6 linked regions of the Kluyveromyces lactis genome follow. The protein of the gene in region 2 purifies or fractionates together with the protein of the main gene of each other region. This does not show direct contact. Links are inferred from orthologs where the notes say so. Each region holds a gene or a part of one and is shown on either strand. Other genes may lie near its edges.

Region 1 (3,927 bases), on a different chromosome or scaffold from region 2:
TCTGTTCCATTTTCTTTTGTGGTCCGTCGTCAGTATTGAAGATTATGAATTTCAATTCACCAGATGAGGTATCATCTTCTTCCATCTTTTGGCGATTGATGATAAGGTTTTTGAAAGACTTTTTGTCTGGATTAAAGAGGAGTTCTCCGGTAGTTAAAATAGCCTCATCAGTAGATGCAGTGAAAATTGAAGAATCCATAGGCTTTCTTGTTAGAGCAGTCGAACTAGTGTCTTCCTCCTTGGGTTTTGATAGTTTTAGATGAATTTTAACCTTTCTGGAGTTCGGTTCCGACTTTTTAGAGTCAAACAAGGGTTTTGGAAGCAGCTTGTATGCTGCGGAGAGGGAGTTCTTTTTCTTCAAGTCTGCAGAAACCATTGTGGCACTAGGCTTAGTTGGTTGAGTAATGGAATTAGGAATAGAGATAACACGGGAGAATAGCTCATCCGTACCATATGGATTGGAGTTCGCTTGTGCTGCTTGCTGCTGGTTTTGCATTTGTTGGTTTTGTTGCAAGGAAGATGAAGAGAATAAACCACCTGTATTTGCATTACCAGAAGTGTTGTTTTGTGATCCAAATAATCCTGTCGAACCAGTATTTGCTGGCTTATTCGCAGAAAATAAACTTCCGCCACCAATTGATGAGGCATTGTTCGTGTTTGTTGCGCCAAAAGGTGCAGTTCCGGCAGGTTTTCCACCGAATAATCCACCTCCAGTGGTACTACTCAAACCACCTGTTGGTTTAGTGCCGAAAAGGCCACCAGATGTTGACGCACTATCAGCTGGTTTGGCACCAAATAGACCACCAGTAGCCGTATTCTGCTGTTGTGTGTTGCCTCCGAATAACCCGCCGTTGGTAGCTCCTAAAGCGTTAGTGCCGGAAGGTTTGGCACCAAAGAGACTACCCGATGATTGACCTTGTTGCTGGTTGTTTTGACCAAATAGACCCCCCGTTGCTGTGTTGTTCTGGTTGTTATTTTGACCAAACAATCCGCTAGATGTATTCTGCTGCTGACTACTTTGGCCAAATAATCCACCAGTAGTTCCTGTTGGTTTTGCACCAAACAATCCTCCGGTGTTGTTTGCCATACTGTTGTTCTGCTGACCAAATAAACCACCGGTGTTAGGTTGCTGTGTTTGTTGGTTCTGATTACCAAATAACCCCCCCGTTGCAGACGGTTGATTACTTTGTCCGAACAATCCGCCAGATTGTTGTTGCTGATTATTTTGACCAAACAGCGCGGAACTACCACCCATTACAGTTTTATTTTGAGCTCCGAATAACCCAGTTGAACCTTGTTGACTTTGGTTGTTTGATCCAAACAGGCCACCGGTAGTTGGCTTCGCACCAAATAATCCTCCGCCCTGTTGATTCATGGAGTTGCTATTTTGTTGTCCGAAAGGACCGCCAGTGCTAGCTGCGTTACTTTGTTGTCCGAATAATCCTGTACTGTTTGTGTTAGATGGTTGTTGCTGTCCAAATAAACCTCCGCCAGTATTGGTGTTGTTTTGTCCAAACAATCCACCCGCCTGAGTATTGTTTACCTGACCGAATGGAGTAGAATTAGCAGCATTTTGTTGACCGAAAGGAGAGGGTCCGTTCTGTGCTTGCTGACCGAATAAACCGCCACCTGTAGTTCCACCTGGTTTTGATCCAAATAATCCACCTGAGGTGTTATTATTCTGACCAAATGCGTTATTGGCGTTACTTTGTTGACCAAAAAGTCCACCAGTATTGGCCGCTGTGGTGTTATTTTGTCCAAACAAACCACCCGGTTGATTGTTGGTGTTTGTTTGGCCGAAAGTGCTCCCAAAGGTGTTTGAACCAGTATTTTGACCAAATGCGTTACCTGGGTTTTGCTGTTGGTTTTGTTGACCAAATAATGAGTTGTTGGCTTGACCAAATGCGGAATTATTATTGGTGGTGTTTTGTCCAAACAGACCTCCAGAGGTAGCCGGTTTGTTTAAACCGAATGGAGAAGAACTTGAAGCAGTATTTTGCCCGAATGGAGAATTATTCTGCTGTTGTCCAAACATGCCAGTTTGCTGTTGCTGCTGTGGTTGGCCAAAGGGAGTGTTATTAGGTTGTGAAAATGCATTTACAGGCTGTTGCTGGCCAAAAGGTGAATTTGCAGGCTGTTGACCAAAGGGAGTTGCGCCACCTGCACTGATGGTATTTTTATTTCCTAAACCAAAAGTGTTGTTAGTACCATTTGTCTGTTGTTGACCGAATGGCGAAGCAATAGCAGAAGCTGTCGGACCTCCAGCAGTGGTGCTAAATTTCCTATTTTGTTGATAATCTTGGAACCTCAACTCTTCAAACGAATAAAGGCTATATTCAGGCATACAAGTAATAGATTGAAACACCGATGGATATCCAGTTGACACATCCTTTTCCGTATAAGGTTGGAATGGCTTGATTCCAGTGCCAGAAGGAGGTCCAGAAGAGAGAACGCCTGTCGCTGTACCACTAGATTGGCTACCACCAAACAGGGATGGTGGGTTCGACAATGAATTACCTGCTGCTGCTCCTGCTGCTGCCCCGCCAAACGGAGAAGTAGTTGTATTTTGCTGTTGTGACATACCGAATGGGGAATTTATAGTTTGCGTAGGGTTTGTATTAGCGCCGCCGGTACCAAACCCACCAAACCCTGATTGCGCGTTGTTGGCAGAGCTGGATCCAAACAGATTGTTTGTGGTTCCACTATGCTGTTGACCGAACGCATTGGTTGTTGACTGAGTTTGTTGGCCAAAAGGAGAAGTACTCGTCTGTCCAAATGCCGGTCGAGAAGCACCAAACATCAGTGGGTCAGGAAATCAAGTGAGGTGACAATTGATGAAAAAGCTGACTAGGAATAAAATAATATGTCCTTCAATGACACAAGTAATCTCTAAGTAGATAATACCAAAGTCGTAGCGTTTTGGTTCAATGGTATTTTTCTGAGAAATAATTTAAAGATGAGTGAGTGTCCTTGTTCTCTGATTGTGAAAGAAGAAACACACTAATCAATTAACGATCTATAAAAAAATTTCCCACTTTACGCACTGTATGAATACTTTTATTGGTCTCAGTTGCTGATAGTATGACTGAAAGACAAATACGACAAATCATATAAGCCGAAACATTGCTTGCATCAACTTAGAAAACGTTAGTTCTTTATCATCAATTAGTTGTTTACTTCAAGGATAAAGAAATTTTCAGAGGTGAGGGATGACCTAAAATCGTATTAAGTGACATAGCGTACGTAGTGATACGTAGTTTTGGGGGATTGTGATGTAGCAGTAATTACTTGAGCACAAGGGAACAGCTGCTAATGCAATTCTGAGTTGGCTCCCTGTTTGAAACACTTAATTCCAATATGTTATATATAATGAATTCCGTCTGTTAAATTACCCAAAAAGTATATATGTTCTATATAGTCGAAAGAAATGAAAATAAAATGAGAGATAAAGCCAGGCAGTAAAGGCATTAAAAGATGCATCTCTCTGGTATGCAAATCTTCGGTAGACACAATAAAGTAGATGTGAAACCCCCTTATTGGCTTTAATACCATAGCGTCATAGGCTCTCTAGGCCATTCATTACCTCATTCATAAGTAGATAATTCTTCAAATTCCTGGGCTTTAACGACCCTGTCGTTAAATCCACGATCAAATCTTCCTCTTCATCAGAATCACAATAGTCTTGCTCTAGGTCTGGAGTCGATCTGGGAACTGAATTTAAACTTTTGAAGCATTGTACTATCACCTGGGAAACCTGCTGCGTATCTTTGGCTTTTCCAAAATTGTCTGTGAACATTGTTGAATATTGTCAAACGGGGACGCTAATGGGTATATTGTAGTAGGCGCTTGTTAAGCCTATTCGGAGGTCGGTATCCTGTGTTACTCCTTATTATGAGACGTCTTTCTTACACTTTTTAACTTATCAAT
Region 2 (5,476 bases):
TGACAGTAAACTTTCTCCAATTCAAAGATCCAATTTTATATTGGAAGTATTTGAATTCATTATTCCTAAAGTAAACGAATATGTCGAATCTCGCCTTCCATATTCTGAGGAACTAGTTTCCCTTGCTGTCTTCCTTTATGAATTATACCATGAGGATAGAGTTGCCATCGATAATGAAAAAACCCTAGACAGTAGGTTGCATACGCTTTTCAAGACATGCATAAACTGTATATCGACACCATCGGCGACTCTAAGATCTGATTTTTATGTGCTTGGTACAAAGTATTTGAACTGTGTCCTAAAGGATGAAATCCTTTCAAAGGAGGTCCTTCAATGGCTGAAGTTTTCCAATGAATCATTAGTAGAGACTGTTTGCAATGATGCTATTATGGGGCAAGGTGCTAATAGAGTAACAGGAATATTGTTTTTGGATGCTTTAAACCAATTAGCAAGTTTGAACAAAGTAAATTTTGTTTTGGAATCACTTGTCAAAAGTAATATGTTATTATTGATTATAAGATCTATCAAAAACACAGATGAGGTATTAGAGACTCAAAATGAGAAGGTGACCTCTTACACATTATTGTATGAACTCACAATTTTCAAATGTGTGGTACACTTCCTGACAAAATTGGCTCAAACAAAGGCTGGTTCTCATGCTTTAGTTCAAAAGAAATTGTTTGAAACTATTACGTCGTGTAACTTCTTGAAAATGGATCCAGATCTTGGACTAGAATTGATGTTTGAATCTGTTGGTGCTGCAACCTCCGGAAAAATCCGTGCGAATCTAACTTTAGATAACCCTCTCCAGATTACATCATACGAAAATGGTATTTCGCTCTTTGAAATCATTATACCCATCTTCCAGTTGATTGCGTCAGTGTTACTCAGCTCAGGAACATCAAGCCAATACGTTTTCCGTGAGGCAAGAAAATTGATATCTCATTTCAAGCAATTGGTACAAGGCGCATTAAAGAGAGATGCATTACTTGAAAAGAATGGAGTTGAAACCAAACCAGAAGGACTTGAAGAATTTGTTCAACTCATCATTTTGGTTTGTACACTGACAAATTATTCTGGAGCGCAATAACGATCAGGGCAATATGGTTACATGATTATTAGATTGAACCAGCAAAGTACATAGGTTTCAATATATAGATTATCATAGTATTAACCTCAAGGTCAAAAAAAAAAATCATTTCTGAGACTTCGTCAACGTCTTGAGTTTTCCTTCAAGTTGCTGAGAGTTGTTCTCTAGCGACTTAAGAGCATCTAGGTGAGAATTTAATAACTGGATCAACTGAGCGTTTTCTTCCTTATTAGGGAAGCTTGAGTTTGTAGCCTTATTGAACGTTTCGCTAACTTCGTTTATTTCGGTAATCAACGAGGAAAGATTTAGTGACAAAGAGTTTAGGTTGTCGTCAAGCATTTCCACTGTATGATAGGCTTGTTGTCTCTTTTGATCATTCGTTTTGCTTGTGTTGTTATTGTTGCTCGAAGAAAGCACCTCAGATAGCAGATCTTCAGCCTTTTGTTCATAAGAATCGAGGAAATACTCAAGTTCAGATTGTTGTCTTTCGATATATGAGAGAGACTGATCTACTCTATTTTGAGATTGTTCAGCAGTTAATGTATCAGAGTACAACCGACTTATTTGTTCACCACCTTGCATTAATACTTTGTCCCACTGATTTATCTTCTTGGCGTAACTCTCAAAGTGATCTGCGGTTCCAGAAAGTTGGGAGGTCCATTTTGATACTAAGTCATCCAAAGTCTTATTGTCGAGGGAAACAGGTTCGATAGTAACGGGTTTAGTAGATGTCTTTGTTCCAGTTGTAGTTTCCTGCTTAGCACTTTCAGTTGTTTCTTTGGTAGTATCCGGTTTCAGACCGCCCAAAGAAAAGGAAGGAGCTTCAGTTTTCGTGTCTTTGGAAGCGGTAGTTTCCGCAGGTTTACTTCCAAAGCTAAAAGCAGGCTTTGAATCAACCTTAGTGTCAGATGTTCTGCTATCGGCAGGTTTACTTCCAAAGCTAAATGCAGGCTTCGAATCGTCCTTAGTATCAGATGATTTGCTATCGGTAGGTTTCGCTCCTAACGAGAATGCGGGGCTAGGATCGGCTTTATTTTCTGAGGTGTTGGACCCTAAAGCAAAAGATGGTTTTGATTCTGACTTTGACCCGTCAGTCTTGTTATCGAACGAAAAGGCCGCTTTGGAAGCTGACTTGGTATCTTCAGTCTTATTGCCAAAAGAAAACCCAGGCTTGGATTCGGTATCGTCAGCATTCGTGTTCAAGGATCCCAGAGAAAATCCCATTTTAGAGGCAGGTTTAGATTCTTCTGTTTTAGATCCCAGAGAAAATCCACTTTTGGTCTCCTCTTTACTGTTGCCAGATTTAACATTGAATGCAAAACCCTGTTTACTTTCTGGTTTGTCATTGGAAGGTTTAGAGGGTTCAGGAGCCACTGGTTTTGATCCAAAGCTGAAGGCTGGCTTACCGGCTTGTTCTGTCCCAGAGGGCTTTGCTCCGAAAGAAAATGCTGGTTTAGCATCTGTAGGCTTGTCCTCCGTTTTTGAACCAAATGAGAATCCTGTCTTTGCGCCTGAGGTTTTTTCTTCAGGTTTTGATCCCAGACTTAGCGAAAAACTTGGCTTGTTGGCATCTCCAGCGGCAGAACCAAAGTTGAACCCTGAAGTAGCACCGGCTGGTTTTGTATCAGTGTGGTTCCCACCAAAGAGTGATGTGGCATTTGTATTAGGTTTCGAGGTTTCAGTTGGTTTAGCGGAAGTTGTGAAGCTTGATGTTGAAGTTGTATTGGCACCAAATATTGGTTTAGAGGCATTGACACTCGGAGTTGTAGTCATTGCATTATTTCCAGATAGTCCGAAATTAAAAGCGGGCTTTGCATCGGTCTTTTGTTCAGGTTGTGTACCAAATGAGAATCCACTCTTGGGTTGAGTGTCTTTAGCCTGTTGCGACCCGCCAAATAGCGAAGAGCTACTTCCTGCTGCTCCTACGGAGCCAAAGCCACCAAATGTTGGTTTTGCTGCGCTTGTATTCGTGGTGTTGCTGTTGTTATTGTTCGCATTGCTGGCAGCATCGTTTGCGTTAAAACCTCCAAAAGCAGGTTTTGGTGCATCGCCTGTACCAGCAGTTGTATTAGAGGCACCAAACGAAAATGGCGAAGCTGCTGGCTTGACTGCATTAGCGCCCTGTTGTGTATTCATACCAAAGCCTCCGAATGCAGGTTTTGTTTGTCCATTGTCATTGGTAGTGGTCGCTCCAAACGCTGAAAATGCATTTCCCTGCTGCGTATTAGAGCTACCAGCAGCTGAACCGAAACTTGCAAAAGCATTGCCACTGGTCTGGCCTCCAGTATTGCCAAAGAGAGAGGAAGCACCTGTGCTGGTACTGGTGTTTCCTGTGGTAGATACATTTTGTCCTGATCCAGTACCGGCAAACAAATTGGAATTGCTGTTCCCACCGGAAGCATTTCCCGCTGTAGAAAAGTTGAAAGTGGGGTTTGAATTGAAACTCATTTTGTTGATTAACGAACCCTTGTAATTGTCCACTTCATAGACTAGCTATGCCTATTCAAACCAATTCGTTTGCCATTATGTATACAATTTTCAGTTTATTGTTTAATCATATCGAGTTTTATGATCTTTTCGATTTTAGAAAGAAACAAGGTCCAAAAAATTTGAGTGAGGGTAACCTTGATATGATGCATATACGGATGGACATATAAAGCTTGACTAGCCAGAGTAAGCTCTGTTTTAAAGTTTATTTCCTAATATTATAATGAATGTATAGTAAGATTTATATAATGTACAGAATTCAATCGGAGTAAACCGAGCTTGATGGCTTTTATGTCTTTCGATTCTCTCCTCCAATATCAATAACGGTTAACAATGGAATAGAGTTTTCCTAGGAACTATAAATCACATTACCAACTTTCTGGGTAATTTGATCCAAGAGTAAGGCATCATATTTGTGTTTTTGATCATCTCGTATATCTCAATGCATTAGGTTAAAGTTCCTTTTGAAAAAAAAAGAAAGAGAGGTGAAAGTAGGGGCAGACGTATCCCCTCGAATTAGTTTGTGGTTTTCATGTCTACAATTCTCCACGTTTCTTAGACGGAATGTAATTTGTATTCTCTTTGGGGGCTATGTGCATTGGGTGCTGCTATGTTGAGCCTGGCGAATTATTTGATTTCGCAAGCGTGGTCTTTCTTGAATGTGCTAGAGTGTCTAAAACTTCGTCAAACGCGCGGTCCATTTGTTCTTCTTGCTGTACTTCTTCCTCGCTACTATAATCGCTATCAGAATACCCATCACCTTTCTTCTCCTGCAGATTGGCTTCAACTCCTACGACCGTATTAGAACTTTGGTCGACAGAGGAACTAGAAGCAGTTGGTTTTTTGTCATCTGATTTCTTCTTGAAAATTTCGTCAATGGGAATTCCTTGATTGTTCAATTCATCAAGGAGTGACATAATATTAGATATATCTTGTTTCAAAAGGGCGTCTTTGATATATGTTCACTATCAAATCTTTCGCCAACCCTTCTCAAAATATCTGTGTTAAGCTCTTGGCCACGTTTGTTAGCGGTACTTTGTAGTTCATTCATTAATCCTCTACTTTTCCTCAAAACATCACCTTCTTCTTTCAACTGTTCTTTGGCTTCGTTCTGCACTTCACCGCTCGTGTATGTTAGTGCCACCTCGTCATCTGCAGGTTCATATGATTCTACAGATGGTTGATGGAAGGGTAACAAAGCGCTGTGGCCACTGGAAGCATATTTCGATGAAGAAAGTAAGGTGTTTAGTTTCTTCGGATAAGTTAAAGCTGTCGCAGATTGTGAAGTTAATGGTGATGGGCTTTCACGGTCATTTGACGTGGCTGCATTATGGGAATGGTAACCTGCGCTTCGCAAACTCTTCTTTGCTAGTAATTTCAAGCCCTTTTCAAAACTTGCGTCAATAAAGCAAAATTTAATAAGAGTTTCTTTACCCTCCGTACTTAGCTCTCCATTGAGTCTCAATTTGAATAGTTCTTCAATTGCAGCATGAAGTTTCGCACGTACAGTTTGAATACGTTCCAAGAAGTTTGACACTAATGTATCATAATCACTCCTGGTTGAAGAATCTTCTGTTAGTAACCTTCCAAGCTCTTCTTGTAGTGACTTCAATTTTTCATGTCCATCATCGCCACCAGATTTATTAATTTGTTCGAGCTCTCTCTGTGTATTTCTCATACTATAGACAGAGATTTTTTCTTTGATTCTATCAGGGACATGGGCGTAGTCAATATCCATTGTGATTATAGTCTTGGAATTTTTTACAGCAGCAGCCAATGCACTGGCAGATATTATATTCAAATTGGTTCCCAATAGAGAAATATAATTTATGCGTTGACACATCGGCAAAACTTCGGCAAACTGCATTACTGCCGTTGTGGATAGGTTGTTGTTATCTA
Region 3 (5,454 bases), on a different chromosome or scaffold from region 2:
AGTACATTATAAGGTTTCGAGTGAACACATTTTTGTAAGTGGGTAAGGCGTGGCAGTATTTGTTCTGAAATGTCCATGGTTATGGAGTTTTTTACTTTACTGGAAGATATTAATTTAGTGATTGACACTTTCATGTTACATATTTAAAGAATGCGCTTTTGTTGATTTTCACAACATTACGGTATTATGAAGTTGACTAGGCGAAACGAATATTCACGTGACTCATAATTCAATTGAATTCCTGCAAAGCTGTCATGAACTGCGCTACGCATAGCAGTTTCAATGTAACTAAATTTGATCAATACTTTCCAGAAATGCCTATGTTTCAAGTAATAGCCGGTTCAATTTGGATACCACAAGCGAAATCACTCAATTTCTTGCTATTGAGTATGTTAGACTTGATTTATAAGTTGATGTAGTTCCACTTAAAGATTTTACGAGCATCTCATCCGTTAACGAAGCTCCATTCGAGTACTCTCTCGAAACAAAATTTTTTACCTAAACTTTAAGATGACATTAGTAGATACATTCTTACACATAAATGTAAAGATGTCGGAAGGAATGATATCATGCAATAATTGTTACAATTGAGATGCAAAGCCTTTGTTTTCCTTTATTAGCCTCTTCTTCTTCTCCTACCGGGCATAGCAATTTTGCGCTGCGGTGGAAATGGTGCCCCTCCTTGAGGAGTTGAAGCCTGCGCATTGAATATGTCCGCTGGATTCTGCTGACCAGCGGAAAATATGGACGATGGATTCTGTTGCGGGGTTTGGGATCCAAATACTACAGAAGGACTTTGAGATGGTTGACCACCAAAATTAAAATTGGCAGCGGCTGAAGGATTAAATGTGTTTGTCTGCATAGAATTACCGAAACCGGTACCCAATGCTGGTACCTGGGGAGTGGAAGAAGCTGAGCTTCCGCCGAATGAAAAAGGTACATTAGGCTGATTGGAACTGGTTCCAAATGCAGGTGAACTGTTGGTAGTGCTTGGCCCACTTCCAGTAAAAGTAAATGGTTTTTGATTTTGTTGTGCAAAAGTAAATGTAGTTTGAGTAGGCTGCGTTACACTTATCTTATTCCCAGGTTGAACGACATTATCAAATGAGAATGGGACAGGAGGGTTGCTTCCACGAGCAGATCCAACATTTGATGAATCTGAAAACGGAGTCGGAGTAGTTTGTCTATTATTATTTTTAAACCCTGTCAAATCAAATTTGAGTCCGCTGACAGGCTGGCCACTGGTGTTCTGACTTGCAAACGAAGGAATTGCATTGGAAGCTTTTTCAATTGAGGGCTGCTGGATGGCAGAGGAACTTCCAAAAGAGAATGCAGGTTTCGAACTCATATCACCTTGAACAGGTTTCTTTGTGGTCCCGAACGAAAATGATGGTGCAGCAGCTTCTTTTGGGGTTGTATCAGAAGGTAGGGCTGCTGGGGTGCTACCAAAGGAGAATGCAGGTTTTACAGCAGTACTGACGGCATTTTTGGCTTCCTGCTTCTCTGTCGCGTTGTCTGCTGAAGGCTGTTGGTTGAGAGAAAATGCTGATGTATTCGAAGCTTGCCCAAAACTGAAAGGTTTAGCTTTTTCCTTCTCAATATTTTTTGACGAATCATTTCCTACAGGTTTACCACCAAAGCTGAATGATGGCAGCACTGGTGCTTCAGTTTTTGTACCATCTGGTCTCTTTGCGGCAGGTTCAGTACTACCACTGGAACCAAACTGAAATAGTGGTTTAGGTGTATTAGTTGATTGAGAGGTACTCAATGGGGTCAGATCTGGAGTAGATGATTTTCCTTTGTTGAAGCTAAACATAGGTTTTGACATTTCACTGACATTAGTTGGTTCGCCTGCATCTTTTTGGCTGCCAAAACTGAATGAAGGGGCGGGTTTAGCTATCTCTTTGCCTTCTGAAGATTTTCCAAAACTAAATGTAGGTATATTTGATATCCCAGTTGTATCCGCACCAGTGAAGCTGAACTTAGGGAGGCCGTCTTTAGCCAGATTTTCAACAGGTTCGGGGGCGGATTTCTCAAAGGGGTTTTTGGATGTTTCAGCTTTTTTGGTCTCTTTCTTGGTTTTTGATAAATCACCAAAGGTGAAAGAAGGAGCACCATCTGAGATTTTTGTGCCTCCATTGGCTGTAGCTGTGTTGTTTTTTTTTACCGCATCAAAAGAAAAAGCAGGTTTCGATGGTTCAGTTGATGTTTCCAGCGACTTAGAACTTGTGAAGGGAAATGGTTTAACAGTGTCCTCAGTAGAACTAAATTCTTTCTTTTTTCTTGGTAACTCTTCAGAATCCTGAGAAGGGGCCGTTAATTTCTGTTTATCATTGTTGAATAAATCCAATTTGGTATTTCCAAAAGATATATTTTTGGATACTGTTGGTTTGGTAGGTGTATCTGTGCTACCTGGGAAAATAGAAGTACTGTCTCTATTCATAAAGTCAAATCCAACACTTGGGCCGTTAGCGTTTAAAACTTTATCTTCTGATATTTTTTCCTTGACGATAGGTTTCAATGATAGTGTTGGTGCAACTACTTCTTGTGCTATCTTTGGATTTTTTTGCAATGTCTTTCCTTGTAATAACCTGCTTTGAACATCAGTTAAGCCAGATCCACTAGGCACTCCTGTTTGATCAAAAGTATTGACATGTTTCTTTGAAGAGGTACTCCTTTTTAGCAATGGATGTGGTAGTTTAGGAGATTCCAAATTCCCCATTGAGGCAGATACTGGTTTCGTCTTTTTGTCGTTTTTCAAGATATCATATTCTGATAAATCGTATTGAAAATCAGCTTTCCACTTCTTGGACTTTGGGTTATCGGAAACCCTATGATTTTTCTTGTCACTTTGTAGTTTGTTGACGAGTAAATTCTTTATAGTAGCATTTTTGCCGTCTGTTAAGCGATATAGGCCGTTCTCTGCTGATTGTAATTGTCTTTGTAAAAGTGGGAATTGCCGAGCACGGCGCAGTTGCTGCATCCTTAGTAGCCGCAATCTTTGTTTCGGTTCTATCGTTAGTACTGGAGGCCTTACACCATGTTCAGAATCCCCTTCATACAAGAAAATATTCGGTCTTTCATCATAATTGATATCATCAATGCCATTGTGATTTAACGGGTGATCGGTGATTTTTTCGTTATTCCAAACCAATTCCTCGTAACCGTCGAAGCCACGTTTTTGCCTCTTGATGACCACTGATCCTGAATCACTGATATCTTCATTGTGCGACCTTGTTATATTCGGATCTTCGCTATTCGTATCGTCATGCTTGGTAAATAATGATGCCAAAGTCGATGAAATCGATCTTTTGGGTTTTTCCAGATATGATGCCGACATTATTCTATAAAGTGGCCGTGATATGCGGCAAGTGAACCAGAGTCCAATTCAAGTTTTCGATTCCTATTTCTTTCGAAACTGCTGTTTCTGTAACTTTCTTGCGTATTAATAAAGGTATTATTCGATATTTGATAATTCGATATTTCAAGTCCTAACATTCCTAGCTGTTATTTTTTTCCTCTTACAGGGTTATAATCACTTTGTACGGTTTGACACATATTGACCTAAACTAACCAAGGCGTCAGTATAAGAGAGTCTAGCTAGGAGATGGACATAAATTTGCATTAGTTCCAAAACATCAATATGGGGCTCGACTATTATCCAAAATTTATTATAACGATTCTACATTATGAAAGTTTAAAGATTTGCCGTCCACTTAATACAAAAGTACCCTTTTTCGTTATTTTAGCTTTCAAGTTTTATATAGAACTCAAGTTTTGTTCATTTTTCTATACATAAGGCCTGAAAGTGACATGAGGGATCGAAAAGAACAAATTGATATATAAGTAAAGAAAAACTTAACGTTAAACTGCAAGAACGCACAGGATAGAACGTAGTGTGCATCAATGCCATGCTTAACAGTACAAGTGTTCTATTCTTGTGAAATTCAGATTATCACGTGACCGATTTCTCCCCATCCTGTCATACATTCGTCCCATCTTGTTTTTTTTTTTTTAGTTTGGGGAAACCTTGAAGAACGCGTCATGGAGGAAATCAAGTAAAAAGTGCAACACCGAATGTGGTTATGAGGCTTCGACACCACAGAACAGACCGCTTGATTCCGAAACGAAGAGGCCATATCGGTCAAGGAAAATCCCAAAAAACACCTTGAAGGGACAGAAGACTGAAACGAACACATAAGTCTAAATCCGAAAAGAAAAGAATCATTACACTAGAAGAAAATGGGCAGTGGAACATCGCACGATGCCTTCGACTACGAGTCATGAAGTGGGAGATCGATAAATGTCATAAATGTCATAAATGTGCTATTTTTATGGCTGAGCTCTGCTAATGGTATCATATAGTTTTTTTTTTTTTTTTGTAGTTTTCAATATTCCCTGATCGAATCTGGGTTGCCTCGAGAAAAATGTGATATTAGAATAGCGTATATCCACTGTTCAATTGAAGAAAACTGAAAAATTACAAACGAAGGCATTTTACCTTTAACAACTCGGTATCGTTTTTTGTTTCCTTAGGTGCTTTACTAAGTTATTTGATCGTTTGACGTGAATATCCTGAAACCACATTGGTCGTTGTTGATTTCTTCTTAACAAATCCGCTATTTTTCTTTATTTCAATTGGAAATAGGTTGGGAGAAAGCTGTTCAGTAATCTTTCAATAAGCCATGAGCGAGACCAGAATCAATAAGGAGCGTTCTGCGCGTCTCCTTGGGATAATTATCGTTGCTGCAATTACCATCTATTTGTTGTTCCAAGGTGCTTCATACAATGGTGGATACAGCACTGGTGTGTCATCTTCGCAGAATGCAAATCAGTACGAGACCGTTCGCATGAAGGGTGATTCCCGTGTTGTTGTAGACCCAAACACAGGGTTGAAGTACACCACCGTCGATTCCGGTAAGTACACTGGCTCCAAGGTTAAGGCAACTTTTGTGACTTTGGCACGTAACGGTGATTTGACAGAATTATTGTCATCTATTAGGTCTGTTGAAGATAGATTCAACAAGAAGTTCCAATACGATTGGGTGTTTTTGAACGATGAAGAGTTCACAGATGACTTCAAGAATACAGTTGCTTCTATGATTAGTGGTAACGTCAAGTTTGGCCTAATCCCTGTCGAACACTGGTCCTATCCAAGCTGGATCGACCAGGAAAAGGCTGCTCAAGTCAGAGCTGATATGAAAGCCAAGAAGATTATCTATGGTCATTCGGAATCATACAGACATATGTGTCGTTATGAATCAGGATTCTTCTATAGACACAAATTGATGGATGAATACGAGTTCTACTGGCGTGTTGAACCAGGTGTTAAGATCTACTGTGATATCGATTACGACATTTTCAAATTCATGAAGGATAACGATAAGAAGTACGGTTTCACCATCTCTTTGAGAGAATACGAAGCTACCATAGAAACGTTGTGGAAGACCGTTT
Region 4 (4,915 bases), on a different chromosome or scaffold from region 2:
CAAAAGAAGTACCCATGCATAGGAAGTTTGGAAGCTGAACCCGGTGTAAACAATTAGAATATTTGTTCAGGCCTTGGTGAGATTAAGGACTATTTTTGTATTTATTTATGCTTCTGTTTTCTAGTGTACTACAAGTCCAGATAATTTATATGTCTGTATATGATGGATTAGGACATGGTCTCTGCAACTTCCTCAAAGAAGAAGCGCGAAACAGGTTCAGGCTGATTTCTACTCCTGAAACCATTTCTCGTCGTTCGCTGACTAGGATTCAAAGAAGGATAGTCACGTATTCTAAAAGTGTGCTCTTGTCCTATATTAATCAACTTCGGATCTTCTGTGTAACAGCACGGTATGTCGACAGTTTTCACGATTCCTTGTTCAGAATAATTGACCTTTAAATCTGCGTGTTTTGCTACTTCTTGCCTAACTGTGTGCCTCGAATTTTGATAAGGATCTCTCTCTACAGATGCGTTATTCACTATTCGTTTCATTGAGAATTTTCTACCGCTGATCCAAGATCTCAAATGTCCATTGGTTTCTAGAATTCTCACCTTTGGCGAATTCTCCTGACCTTTATTAAACGATACTAGAAGCAATGGTTTCATGTTACTCGATTTATGCGACATACCAGTAGGAAGATTAGCAATACGGTCTATTGGGATTGCAGATCTCTGATTTGTATTCCTTGAGCTCTTCTTCAACTTGTGTAGGTTCCATCGCCTTTTCAATCTTTTCAAAGTGACACAATTATGCACCTTATTAAATAACCTTCTAAATCGATTATATTTTGATTGGCGAGGTTCTGGTATCGATCTCATTTAATGTAGTTATATTGCCTTGGAATAGTGAGTTTTCAGCAAAACTGTAGTGAGCTTATAATCACAATTTGTAATTTGCTTAAGAGTTCATTGGCTAGTATAATGTTCTGAATGTTAGGCCCTTTTTTTATTGACGTACACTTTGTGACAAACAGGATATATGATAAAAAATAGTCACAGAGTCAAGTCACCTTGAATCCAACTGATATAAATAGATGGATATACTTAGTTTAATTTATTTGTGTGAGATGCAACTATATATTATACTGAATGAATTAAGATGTTCTTTTTTAAAGAAGCGCACATGATTAGCTCAATACTTTTAGATGAATGCCTCTCTGGGTAGATTGTTTGCACTGTTTCTAAATCCTTGGATAGCATTATCATAGTTCCAAAGACTTTGCTCGGCAAGCATATAAGTGTACTCAGCGTTAAGCTTTGTTTCAAGGTGTAACTTCTGAAGTAGTTCTAATTGTACAGGTGACAATTTTGCTTGCACTTCCGGTGAGAATTGCAAAGGTGTCGATCCAAGAACTCCCGGGATTTGGCCAGGAATGGATGATGTATTTGGCGGAGTTTGTGAGAGGGGCACGTTCATTTGTGGCTGATGTTGCACAGATTGAGCTTGGAGATGTGGTGGAGAAGGTGGTTTAGACCAAGCGCTATCACAGAATGGCCTTATCGTCAACGAATCAGATGCAATGATGACACTACCATTTGGACTTGGAACTAAGACCATTGTTCTATCGAAGGATTTCTGTGAAAGTTTGATGTTCGGCGTAGACGTAAATCCATGGTTGTATCTCCTTCCTCTAGAGGCAGATGATCCTTGTGATGTTTTGCTCTTGTCAATTTCAGGTTTGGCAGTTTCATCGAAATGGCCATGAAGAGTGATAACAAACCCTTGAACTTGTGGGAAGGTCCAGGCTTGCACAGAGTAAGCATCAGGTTGTTCTTGCAAAAAATGTTTTGTCATAGGGAGAGATCCGAACACTTCATAAATTGCTTCGGGCCCTATACGTAACCGTTCTTGGATGGTCTTGTCGCTAGATATCTTGGAAATGTTTCTTGAAAATGGTAAGTAATGACCGAATGTAGGAGTCGTTTGAGCATTAGGTACAGTAGCAGCTGGAACGGAAGAATCAACACTTAAGGAAAATTGAGACTGTGGAGTGTACAAACCCATCAATTGCATTCTATTCGAATCCCACAAGTTCAAGAAGTTGGTAATAAAATCTGTTGACGATGATGCCAATCCATTATCTTCGAAAAAGAACTGGGTTTGTTGTACCGGTAAGCTATAGATAGACAGTAGTTTCTGCTCGTCACGAACGACAACGTTATCTAGAATCACCAATTTGGGGAATATCCTTAACATTTCTGTACGATATAAACGATCCGATGTAATTGGATTATTCATCATCAGAAGCTCCCTCAACTCTTTGAATTTATTCTTCCAAACTTCAAGAGAATGGAATCGACTAATACTATTATTGGCGATGCATAGGTTTTTCAAATGAGGGAAAGTCTGTGCCAACGTGGTAACACCATTGACGTCTCTCAAATTATTATCAGATAGGTTGATCGATTCAACAACCATGCTAGGCTCCTTTGAAGCCACTTTCATCATAGCCGGGAACATCTTGGACTGCGTATTAACATTTTTCGGAGCCATACCGCGTTGCACCAACTCCGGATCATTGAACAAATTACCAAGATCCAACATCCTCGTTTGCACATTATATCTTCTCAAAAGCACATTACGAAGAACGGTTATCGTATCATTCGTATTAGGGTTTGTGTTCCCACCGGCTGCCTTGTGAATCTTCAATGAATTGCCTGCAAACCGGTACCCACTAAATTTCACCAATTGATCTGCCTCCTGCGGTGTCACATAACCAACTATAGTGTCCCCTTGAACCACAGAGTTTCTCACTGAGATCCTGGTCTTTCTCGAAATGAAATTCAACAAATCCTGTTGAGTAGCGTTAGTCCATCCACGAATGCTAACGCTGACTAAGTTATCCAATTGGTTTTGCTGTGCCAAAGCACCAATCTGATTCACGTTACCAAAACCACTAACTTGCATCACTCTAGTAACGCTATATCACAAGACTTTTCTCAACCAAATCGGTTAACCCGGTGAGCCTCATCTTTCAATCTCTATTCCCATCTCAATTACCAATGAGACTAGCACATTTTTTGATTATTTCTAGGTTTTTAGCATTTTTTTTTTTAATTTTATTCTTCAGTTTAGTAGAAAGAGATGATCGACCAAATCGAAACAGAAAATTCAAGGTCATGTGATATATTACGAGCACGTGACGTATAAATATCTTTTTTTTTTTTGGTCTTTCTCTTCTATTTGTTCTTCTAAGCTCTGCCGTATTGAATACGTATAGTGTTTCAAACAGAAGGAAAAAAACCCAAAGGTTTTTGGAAAATACAGACTGGCATATTAAAATCGAAATAAGTTAACTGTTAACTACTTTTCTAGATCAGAGGAATAATTGTTTGCAGTTTGAAGGCTTTTTTGTTTAATAGTACACTGTGGTTCACTTTTTTTGATTGCTGCCTGCTGTGTGTTTTATTGTAGCGGCTTAATTTATTGGCAGTCTTTTGGTTCTACAACAGACAAGCAGACGAACAGACAACGACGCCATGCCGCAGAATTATGATTACGATGAGGCAAGCACCACATGGCCATTTTTCGTACTCACGGTGTTATTTGTGGCTGTTACACCGGTAACATTGATTGAGCTGTATAGATTGATTGTTGGGGACTCCAGCGATAAGAGTTCTTCATCAGAATGGAGTCAATTGCACGAAAAATATACTTCAGAAGAAGTTCGGAAATATAGACTTGCTAATAAGAAGAAAAGGTCCAAGAAGGGAATTTACTTCATTACCGTTGGTTGGGTGCTCATTTCGATGTTGATTTATCATATTCGTTCCAACGATGCTATCTATCAGATTGCAGCAGCGGCTTTTGATCCATATGAGTTACTTGGTGTGACGCTTTCGTCTACCGATAAAGAGATCAAGTCTGCATACAGGAAATTATCTGTCAAATTCCATCCCGATAAGCTTTCCAAGGACCTAAATGAGATTGAAAGAACGGCTATGGAGGAACAGTTCGTGATGATTAACAAGGCTTATAAGGCTTTAACTGATGAAATTACGAAGGAAAATTATAGAAAGTATGGTCATCCAGATGGTCCTCAATCTACTTCTCACGGTATCGCTTTGCCCAAGTTCTTGGTGGAAGGAGGTACTTCCCCATTTGTTGTTTTTGCATATTTCATTCTACTTGCGTTTGTGTTACCCATGGTAGTTTCTAAATGGTGGAGCACTTCGCAAGAGTACACAAAACACGGTATTCATTCTGAAACAGCATCTCACTTCGTTGACAAAATGTTCAACTTCAAACCATCTTATGTTGTTGTGCCAGACTTAATCATTAAATGGATCTCTGAAGCAAAAGAATTCCAATTGAAATTCCCAGAATTGTCTTCCGTGGACATCGCTAACATTATCCATTCCCATGTTAACCGTGAAAAGACTGAAAACGAATATGCAAGGAACTATGTGCTTACCAAATCATCGTTACTTTTCCATCAATTGATAGAAATCGCATCCACTTTTAGGAACACTGAAGTTGCATTGATGGCGTTAGACACGTATAAGACAGTGGTACAGGCAACTCCGTTATCGCCACACTCTCAAATCTTTCAATTACCAAACGTGGATAAAGAGCATTTCTTGGATTCAACTACAGATGATATTTGTGCCTTGGGTAAATTATTCACATACCCAGATGATAAGATAGGTAAGATGCTAGGAATAAAAGATGAAACAGCACTCAATGAAACTTTGAAAGTAGCGTCTCGTATTCCTAAGTTGAAGCTCGTCAAGGGCTCCTTCAAAGTTCGTGGATCTTCTCTAAATACCGCAGAACCAGGTTCTACTCCTCACATTCAAGTTAAAGTGTTGGTTCGTTCTCCAAGACACAAACTTTTCCCAAACTCATTGATCCCAGCTGAAAAAATAGCTGGCGATGATCCATTGTTATTGGAACAGGATCCCTTCGAAAAATT
Region 5 (4,126 bases), on a different chromosome or scaffold from region 2:
AACATTCAGTTCAAATTGGAAATCACTTATGGTTAGGCTGAAGAATTTCACCGGTTTCACAGAATTTGTCATTCTTGGTTCAGTTTTCTTTGAGATGATACCCAATACCAACCAATTGGGATAATCAGGTTCAGAGAACTTAGGGGCTCTCACCTTACTGAAGAGCTTTGGAAGTCGAAGCACTTTTATGTTTTTAGTATGTTTCCTAAGTACGGCCAACGGTACATACCTTCTGTCTATAACCAGACCACTCAAATCATCTTTTTCATCAACAGTAATTGGTTCATATTCATCGAACATGTCGCCATTGAATGTGTAAACTCGATGTGCCAATAATTCTTTCTTCCTTTTAATCGCTTCATGTTCATTTGTATTGATGGAGCGAAGTTTTTCAGTAAAGTAAGAAGTGGTACCCAACTTTTTGACCTTTTCCCTTACATAATCCTCATTAACATTAAATGTAGCTTCCTCTATATCTGCTACTGGCGCAATATGTTTGATATCCTCTATTCCTTTTGTAGCATTATCTGATTTCTTAGGAGACTCTGGAACGTCGATAGAATCGAAATTAGGGTCTTTGAGGTTTCTCTTCTTCTCTAGTTCCAACAGCCGGTTAGTTAAATCTCGTTTCTCAGTGTCAATTTCAACAATTCTTCGTTTCACTTTGATTTAATGATTGGTTATAATATGTTAGTAGGATATTCTAATGTCATTGATCTCGGTAACCATTATTATTAGAACATACCTCTTTCGATTTCAGATTCATCATCAGATAATTCCTCGTACGGGTCGAACGCCGTAATTTCTCTCGGGTCAGTTAGATCATATGACATGATGCATCTTCACTGTTACCTATACTCGATAGCTTCTGTAACTATTCTCGTTCATTCTTTACTTGTGGGATGTCATTATTTTGTTTTCTCGTTTGAATATCTGTGGAAAGTAATACTAGTATTTTTTACATGTTGAAAACGAATGGTCAAATAATGATACATAATAGAAAAAAATTAAATAGAACTTCGGTAATATTAACAGCCATAAAATCGTCTGGAGAATCAGGCTTCCTGACCATCCTCAGTATCACTTTCAGGCTCTTTGTGACGTTTCTCAGGCTGTTCTGTTGCGGTGTCGTCTATGGGTCTCTTATTAGGAGAAATTTCTGACGTTGAGAAGGGACTAGTGAATGTTGAATGAGAGCCAAATACAGGGGCCTGGAATGCTGCACTCATATTAGAAGTGTCATTCTCTACAGGTTTAATTGTGGACTTTTGTTGTTCTAAATTCCTGATCTTGCTTTCCAAAAATTTCAATTTCAAGGAAACTTGCTGTTTCCCTTCTTCGAAAGATTTTTGTTTTATTTCTGCCAAATCTGCTTCAAATTGCTTACGCATGGAATCCTTAAGTGCATTCAATTCTGCACGATGCTTTTCTAGAGTAATGGCATCATTTCCGATCTCTCCTGCCAATTTTTGGGCCTTTTCGTTTACCTTTTCTTCAAAGGACTCTTCTAAAACAGCTTTTCTTGCCTCAACTATTTTATCAATCTTTTGTTGAGTAGGTAACCTGATCCGTTTCTTGAGGGCTTCTTCTGCTAATTTAATTTTTTCCAGAGTCTGCTTCTCATATTCTTTTTCCCATTCATTCTTCAAAGCATCGATGTCTATATCCAAGGTAGGCTGCGAAGGAGACTGGACAGTAGTCTTTTCGCACTCTTCACGAATTCTCTTTTCTCTTTCTTCAAACTGTTTCCGGAGCTCTTCCTCTCTGGAATTCCAAGCAGATTCTTTTTCTGCCTCAAACTTGCTCCTCAATTCTTTTTCTTTATCTTTTATTAATTGTTCTTTTTCAGCTTCAAATTCTGTTTTCAAATTATCCACTATTGACTTCGTGTCTTCGTTGATAACTGGCGTATGATGTTCAGCTACTATTTTTTGAGCGTTGGAGGCTTCGGCTTCAAGCTCCTGTATTTTACTATTTAACATTTCCACAGTCTCAGTCAACGATTTTATTTTTTCATCTGAATCTGCATTATTCTGTTCGGTCTTGGAAGCATTTTCCATTTGAACCTGAATAGAATGTAGATCTTCCTGCAATTTAGATAATTGAGAGTTAAAAGTCTGTTCCTTTGTTTCTGCTTCTTGCGTTACCACTTGTAATCTTTCTTCTAACTCTTTGCAAGCGGTCTTACATTTTCCTAAATCGGCCTCCACTTGAGATTTAGCTTCATTGATTTGGTTTATTTCTGATGATAAAGATTGTTCCTTTTCCTTGGAGGCATTCAATCTATCACGTGCTTGAAGCCTAATTCTTTGGAACTTCGATTCCCAGTCATCTTTCTCGGCAATGACGCTTTGCAAAGTATCCTTGGTAGTTTGCAGTTCATTTTTAACATCGTTAATTTCCTCCTTTAGTTTACCATGTTCTTCAGGATCAATACGTTCATATTTATGTAAGATATCTTGAGAACGGCTTTTCCACCGTTCTGCTTCTTCTTTCGATTGAATGAGTTCCTGTTCTTTAATTTTGATACCATTTTGCAAAGAGGAAATGGACGACTGTAGTGGCGCCAGCCTATCATTACATTCTTGCAATTGCGACTTTAGATTGTCACATTCTTTCTTGAATGAACTATTTTCAGATCTTAGTGTAACGTTACTTTCTCTTAACAAGTGCAGTTGGTCAAGTTCTTTCATTATATTTTCTTGCTGCTCTAGCAAATGAGCGCTTTCACTGGAACTATTCTTAACTTGAGATAATTGAGTATTCAAATCTTCAATTTCTGATTTTGCTATATCAAGGCGTTGTTTTAGAACCGTTTGCTCGCTCAATGCAACTTCTAGTTTAGTTTCTAGCATGTCTCTTTCACGGCGCAAGCTGATTAACAAGTCACTTGAATCATGAGAGTTGTCACGATCTTCAGTCTTGTTTAGCAATTCAATTTGGTCGTACAGGAGCTTATTTTGGGTTGATAGTTCTTGGACTCGTTGCTCCAAAACGGACAGTTTATCTTCGTACTCAGTCTTCTGTTCATTCCATAATTTTTCGCTATTCTTCAAGTTCTCCATAGCCAGTTGGGATTGGGTTTTAAGTGTCTCTAGATCAGATTTATAGCTTTGCGCCTCAGTTCTTAGGGACGTAATAGTTTTAGAGACATCTGCATGCTTTTGCAATTCAAGTTCGTAGCTCCGTTGACTCTCATTTGCATATTGCGTTTGCATTTCTAGATCTTTCTGAATCATTGCAATTTTTTCTTCGTAGTCAGCCTTAGTTCGATCCACAGATTCTTTCACCATCTGAAGCTTACTGATTTCTTCCATTGTTGCGTTCCTCTCAGTTTGGTATTCTGATTTTTGATGGAAAATTTCGTTATTCAGGTCTTTCACCTGATCGTTGAGAATATTGACAGTACTCTGTAATTGATTTCTTTCGTTTTCTAGAGTGATTATTGTCTTCTGAGATTCCTTCTGGGCCTCTTCAAAGGCCTGGCTTACTTCATTAACGGATTGCACGGACTGTTCCGCCAGAGTTTTATGATGCTCTATTTGTGAATATGAATCAGAAAGTTGCAAGTTAACCTTTTCCAATTCCTGTCTCAAAGTCTCAACTAGGTTTTGAGCATCATCGACATTACTTAACATCGTATATGATTGTGCCCGTGCCTCGGCCTCCTTGAGTTTTGCGGATTGTTCATTGATAGTGGATTGCATTTTCTGAAGTTGAGCTTCTTTTTCTTCTAAGGTCGTTTTCTGTTGAGCTGCCTCACTAGTTAACTTATCAATCTTTTCTTGAAACCAATTATATTGATGCTCTTTATTGCTAGCAATTCCTGTGGTGTTTTTTTCAATTTCTTCAAGGCGTTCGAGTGAACCAGACAACTCAATTTCCAATTTTCTAAGCTTTTCCTTATAAGAATTCTGAGTTTCCTTGAGTAACATTTCTCTCTCACGTTGGAGTGTCTGAAGTTGCGCAATTAACACCTTGTATTCGACACTTTCTTTGGAAAATCTTTCGTTCTCTGCCTTCAGTTCCTTTTGAACCTTTGCCATAAACTGTTTTTCAGACTTCAAGATGGATAGTTCCGATTGTATAGATGACAAAGTGGATTTCGTTTTGATTAAGGAATCTA
Region 6 (5,454 bases), on a different chromosome or scaffold from region 2:
GGATTGTAACATCGTAACGTCCAAATTCGAATTAGCGAAAAGAGCAACCTCTCGTTTGACGTCGCTAGCTAATTTATTAAGATCGGTTAGTCCATGGTACATGCCATCCAGGTATGAGTCAGTGATCAATTTCTCATTGGCCAAGTTGTCGATGATTGGAAGTTCGATACTTTGATGGTAGAACTGCTGCTTGAAAAAGACCCTTAAAGTTTGTCTAACCGCATTTTCATCGGATAAGAGACACCTTCTCCAGATCTGGTACTCGCAGTACTTTTTTACTTCAGTGGGTAACGTGTGATCAATGGCAAGGATACTCAATGCAAATCCATAAGAAGTATCTTGATTTAATAGTGTGAATAATTCTATCATATGCGGCACTGAGAGAGATTCTCTCCTCTTCACAGCATCGCTCAAATATTTGAACAAAGTTCGATAGGTGGTAAAGTCTTTGAATAGTGGGTTGAGAGTTGATTCTTGTAGTTCTTGGGATAGAAGAATTTGCCCATCGATGAGATCTAATTCGGTTTGAATTTCGTTTAGCTTTTCAAGATCTTGAACTTCCGCGGCAAGAGCTGTTAATTTGGCAATACTCAATTGTGCCTGTCTTTGTTTCAAATCTTGACCCAGCGATTGAGTTCCAGTAGAAATACTCAACAAAGTTGTAGTTGCTTCGTCGTATTTATGGCAATATATGTTTCCAATCCATTTAACTTTGCCATACTCGGGACATTCTCCTAAGAACTGGTCCAAATATTCTGAATGGGTTTCACCAAACGATTCGTAAAGATCATCCCATAGCCCTTCCTTGATATAGTAGGAAAATAAGGATTTTGCAAAGTCGTATCCGTATTTCTGGAAGAATTCATCGTATAGAGAGAATGCGGTAATTTTTGGCAGAGATTGCAAAGTTTCAACTAAGCCTTCAAAGTCTTGGTAAAAATCTGTGATTAGAATTGAATCCTGAGACCTGTTAACATCCCTAAGGACCCTATTCCAAAGTAAATGATTTTCTTCGAAAAACTGTTTATAACTAGAATCAGTAATGGCATTTGCATCAATCCACATGGTTATTTGCCTGACCATATAAAATAGAGACTTAACCAATAGCAGTAATTCCTCTACAAATTCTGACACAACGGCAAGATCTTCAGAGGCATGCCTTAACAAGAAGAAGATGTCATTAAGATTTTCTATTATGCTATTTGTTGTGAACCAAGGGATATTTTTTGATACATCATCTGGGCTCATCTGGAAAAGTCCATACCTGTAGCTGTTTTCACATTCTTCTAATATGGAATGATAAACTAGTTGATTTATAAGCTTTGCGATCTGAGATTTTAACATAGTTTCATTTGTGGATTTCATTAGGTCTTTCAAATGCTTCAAAAAGGCGCCCAATAATTCTGGAATCTTAACAATGCCGTCTGAGATAAAATCAGAATCCGATTGATAGGAACTTTCTGATAGTACTGTCTTCCAAGCTTGTGAAATAGATGTTGGTTGTTGCGGTAGTAAAGAGTACAAGCTTTCCAAACATTTTATCATTTCAAAATCAGAAATCAAGTCCAGTTTGAATTGGGAAGATGTTTGATCCAAAAAATTATGAGCAACAAATGTGAGAAGTCTTTCAAAAAGTTCGCTTCTTATTTTTAAGTGTTTCATGGGGTTGTTAGCAACAGGCGGTATGTGGTTTGATAATGCATATTTAATCTCATCACTGGACATTTGAATATCTGTTTCAATTTCTTGTGGTTGTAGATCTAGATTGTCAGGTAAGTTGAAGTCTAGTAATGAATCCGTTGATTGTCCTCCAAAATAGACGTATTGATCCACATGAGACTTTATGAATCTAATTTCTTGGAAGTCAGAGTTTTCGTATTTTTCAAAAGTCTCCAACTTTAACGCACATGTTCTTCCATCAGTAATGTATAAGGAACTTGAATTACAATCGTACCCAAGAACTTTCATATCTTTGTTAAACCGTATAATGTCCTCCCATTTCCTTTTAAATGGATAATTAGAGTCCAATTTGGAACTTGTTTGAGTTAGGACAGCAGCATCAGAGAATAAAGTGTAAACAGACGTTATCGGTAAATGTTCCTTGGTGTATGCAGTTGGGACTATAAGTCTTGGGGCAAATTCATCTGATAATGGTCGCGTGTATGTGTTTAATCTGTAAGTAGAGAAGATAGCGAAACTGTTAGTATCTTCATCCACAATGATGGTTGATAGTAAATAGTGCGTTTCGTTACTTTCCGCTAAGAAACTCAAGAACAAGTATGCATCCGAGTCTCCTGATAAAGGATGACAATCGAGTAGTTTCAGTGTAGATGTTGCCAAGGGGAAATGCTCTAAGACTGCCTGTGAAATTTCAGACTGTACATTTAAATCGATCTTTTTGTAACAATTCCCAACAGATGAAAGGTTCCACACCTGATATCGCCCGCCCTGGGTTAAAATAGAAACTATTCTTTCTCCTTTACCGCTGATTTCGCCCAATTTGAGAGATACCACTCTCTTTGATTTGGACATGGATGAAAAGATTCCGACTTGACATTTTATTATGGTTTGTTTTAGCGATACAAAAGGTTTCCCGTTAGCATCTCTTATAGTACAAAACTCAACACGCCCGTAATTTGTCGAAAGTAATATTCCAGCTGGTTCTGCATTAATCAAATTCTCTACATATTCACCGTCACGTAGTTTTAAAACTGATTTATGACGTTTGGTTTGCGTCAAGAAACTTGCCACTTGACTCACAGTATCAACATCTTCATAGAATTGAATGTCACCGGATCTACTGTTCACTAAAAATAAGCCAGGGCTTGATTTCAAGTCACGTTCGAGCACACTAGGCCACGTAAAGCAACATAATGGAGGACGGGACCATGATTCATATTCCTCGTCATGTAATGGAATCCTTACAAAACTAGGGTGTGTTTCAGAAGATAAAAATGGCCAAACGTAAACATTATCAGTATCGCAGCATAAGGCGTACCCAGATTTTGCATCAACGCTACAACATAATTCCACATTACTGGGCAAAAAACTTAAACTTGGCGCTAACTTCGATACCTTATACTTCCCATTCTCTGTGATAACTTGTTCATTCGAAAATTGTACATTGGTGACAGCAGAACCAGTTGTCGTTTCCTCAGCAGAGATTACTGAATCCTCTGGTGCTGCTGCTGGTACACTAAGCTCTTTCCTGAGCTGAAACAATTGCTTCATCTTGTACTATCTTGACACTGAAAAAAAAAGCCAAAAGAATCACCAAATGTAAAACTTTGAAATTCTAATCTCAATTGATCCACTACCTTGTTAGCCGAACCTAGCTTGACCTTGCATTGCTGTAATTATAAAGGTAAATAGACTCTCTGATGCTCATTGTTTAAAATCTTGGTCAATGTTTCTGTTTTCATTGTCGCCAAAGAAATCGTCATAAGTGATGTCACGTGAAACATTTTCCGCCACGTGACTTTGGAATAGTTTCTTTTCACTTATCAAGTAACTTGGAAAATTAAATCTTTAAACTGGAACAAATCGATGCGATGAGCTAAATGCGATGAGCTAAGTTACAGTCTACATAGTTCATCTTTTGGCTCAGATTTCTATCCTATAAGGTGTAATTGTTGTGATTTGTATCAAGACACCGTAAACACCAGGATGATCAGAACAGTAAAGCCTAAGAATGCCCGTGCTAAAAGGGCTTTGGATAAAAAAGAAGCAAAATTGGTTGAGAATGTAAAGCAAGCTTTATTCATTCCTGGTCAAACTTCTACCAAGTTGTTGCATGATTCAATGGTTGATTTGAGTGCGTTGAAGAAGCCTGATATCAAGAGATTCTCCAAGAAGAACAACATCAGACCTTTTGAAGATTATGAACCATTAGAGTTTTTATCTGAAAAGAATGATACATCGCTTATGGTGTTGAGCACACATTCTAAGAAGAGAAGAAACAATTTGACTTTTATTCGTACGTTTGGGTATAAGATCTATGATATTATCGAGTTGCAGATTGCAGAAAACTATAAACTTTTGTCTGATTTCAGAAAACAAACTTTTAACGTTGGGTTAAAGCCAATGTTCAGTTTCCAAGGTGCAGCCTTTGAACAACATCCAGTTTACCAGCATATCAAATCATTGTTCCTTGACTTTTTCAGAGGTCAGAATACCACTTTGCAAGATGTTGCAGGTTTGCAACATATCATTTCTATCACTGTCCAAGGTGATTTCCAAGACGGTGAACCATTACCAAATGTTCTATTCAGAGTGTATCACTTGAAGACTTACAAGTCCGAACAAGGTGGTAAGAAGTTACCTAGAGTGGAATTGGAAGAGATTGGTCCAAGATTCGATTTCAAGATCGGAAGAATTCACACTCCATCTCCAGAAATGGTCAAGGAAGCCCATAAGAAACCTAGACAATTGGAAGTCAGAGTTGCTAAGAACGTTGAGATCGATACTATGGGTGATAAGATCGGTAGAGTGCATGTGGGTAAGCAAGATTTGGGTCAATTGCAAACTAGAAAGATGAAGGGTTTGAAGGCTAAATACGATCAAGTGGATTCGGATATGGAAGAGTACCTAGAAGAAGTTGAAGGCGATCTTGATCAAGAAAATGTCGATGACACTTACGGTGAAGAATTCGTAACGGCAACAGATATCGATGCTCCACCTGCTAAGAAGCAAAAGAAATAAATTCCATTGACAATAAAAACTGACTGTATAATATAATTCATATACATATCTAATCATATACATACACATTCGCATATATATGAGATAAAGGTGAAATAGAGTATAATTCTTTTTTTTTTTTTGATCGATCCACTGCCTTAATTCGTGGAGGCTGAACGGTTTTGCAATTTTTGTTTGTTCTCTACTAATCTGAGCATGTTTCTCAACAGCATGGAGATGGTTACTTTACCGGTGCTTGGAACGTATAGCGATGCTTTTGATTTCACAGACTCATCGAAATTCTTCTCTGAGGAAAAATTGATACAGATAGCGCCTTCTTTAATGTAATCAGTAGGGAACTTGTATTTTTCACCAGGAACACCTGTTATTATCACGTCAGCATCTTTACAGCATTCCTTCAATAGCTCCTCTGAATATGCACCCAAGTCTTCTACATGATGTTTCGTAAACTTCAAACCTTGCCCACGTGTGAACTTCTGAATGTTGTTGATATCAACAGAAAACACATCAGCACCATCATTTGCTAACAGAGCAGCTAGAGGTCTACCAACAATTTCAGATCTATTCACTACAACACATTTCTTCCCATAGAGTCTGTTCCCTTCTGGTAACAAATTGTTATAAACTTTCAAATACTCCAAGATTTTCACTACAGCTAATGGAGTGCATGGTAGTATCGATTTCAACTGTTTCTGATCATCCAAATATCTAATGTTATGGTACATATTCTGATAATAAACGTGATTCAACCCT

What was found.
Region 1: the proteins of NSP1 (region 2) and NUP116 purify together in Saccharomyces cerevisiae (affinity purification with mass spectrometry; 7 studies listed by BioGRID, with this or other methods). This does not show direct contact. The link is inferred for Kluyveromyces lactis from reciprocal best matches to the Saccharomyces cerevisiae genes NSP1 and NUP116.
Region 3: the proteins of NSP1 (region 2) and NUP1 purify together in Saccharomyces cerevisiae (affinity purification with mass spectrometry; 3 studies listed by BioGRID, with this or other methods). This does not show direct contact. The link is inferred for Kluyveromyces lactis from reciprocal best matches to the Saccharomyces cerevisiae genes NSP1 and NUP1.
Region 4: the proteins of NSP1 (region 2) and MEX67 purify together in Saccharomyces cerevisiae (affinity purification with mass spectrometry; 3 studies listed by BioGRID, with this or other methods). This does not show direct contact. The link is inferred for Kluyveromyces lactis from reciprocal best matches to the Saccharomyces cerevisiae genes NSP1 and MEX67.
Region 5: the proteins of NSP1 (region 2) and MLP2 purify together in Saccharomyces cerevisiae (affinity purification with mass spectrometry; 3 studies listed by BioGRID). This does not show direct contact. The link is inferred for Kluyveromyces lactis from reciprocal best matches to the Saccharomyces cerevisiae genes NSP1 and MLP1.
Region 6: the proteins of NSP1 (region 2) and NUP133 purify together in Saccharomyces cerevisiae (affinity purification with mass spectrometry; 3 studies listed by BioGRID). This does not show direct contact. The link is inferred for Kluyveromyces lactis from reciprocal best matches to the Saccharomyces cerevisiae genes NSP1 and NUP133.

The regions. Positions count from the first base shown.
Region 1 is NC_006042.1:2,466,120-2,470,046, reverse strand, and holds the start of NUP116 (FG-nucleoporin NUP116), read right to left. Parts: upstream 2,801-3,927; coding exon 1-2,800. Other genes in the region: KLLA0_F26686g (uncharacterized protein), read right to left, coding at 3,557-3,796. UniProt on the Saccharomyces cerevisiae protein: Functions as a component of the nuclear pore complex (NPC).
Region 2 is NC_006041.1:1,040,077-1,045,552, forward strand, and holds NSP1 (FG-nucleoporin NSP1), read right to left. Parts: upstream 3,539-5,476; coding exon 1,196-3,538; downstream 1-1,195. Other genes in the region: NUP192 (Nup192p), read left to right, coding at 1-1,090; MHP1 (Mhp1p), read right to left, coding at 4,515-5,476.
Region 3 is NC_006039.1:1,147,597-1,153,050, reverse strand, and holds NUP1 (FG-nucleoporin NUP1), read right to left. Parts: upstream 3,341-5,454; coding exon 617-3,340; downstream 1-616. Other genes in the region: KLLA0_C13497g (uncharacterized protein), read right to left, coding at 1-134; alpha-1,2-mannosyltransferase KTR1, read left to right, coding at 4,686-5,454. UniProt on the Saccharomyces cerevisiae protein: Functions as a component of the nuclear pore complex (NPC).
Region 4 is NC_006039.1:845,162-850,076, forward strand, and holds MEX67 (Mex67p), read right to left. Parts: upstream 2,908-4,915; coding exon 1,141-2,907; downstream 1-1,140. Other genes in the region: DAP1 (Dap1p), read left to right, coding at 1-57; OSW1 (Osw1p), read right to left, coding at 168-818; protein-transporting protein SEC63, read left to right, coding at 3,480-4,915. UniProt on the Saccharomyces cerevisiae protein: Involved in the export of mRNA from the nucleus to the cytoplasm.
Region 5 is NC_006037.1:52,249-56,374, forward strand, and holds the end of MLP2 (Mlp2p), read right to left. Parts: coding exon 1,056-4,126; downstream 1-1,055. Other genes in the region: MCM10 (Mcm10p), read right to left, coding at 1-662, 746-833. UniProt on the Saccharomyces cerevisiae protein: Together with the closely related MLP2, involved in the structural and functional organization of perinuclear chromatin. Together with MLP2, associates with the nuclear pore complex and form filamentous structures along the nuclear periphery.
Region 6 is NC_006037.1:702,623-708,076, forward strand, and holds the start of NUP133 (Nup133p), read right to left. Parts: upstream 3,232-5,454; coding exon 1-3,231. Other genes in the region: rRNA-binding ribosome biosynthesis protein RPF2, read left to right, coding at 3,667-4,701; MTD1 (methylenetetrahydrofolate dehydrogenase (NAD(+))), read right to left, coding at 4,839-5,454. UniProt on the Saccharomyces cerevisiae protein: Functions as a component of the nuclear pore complex (NPC).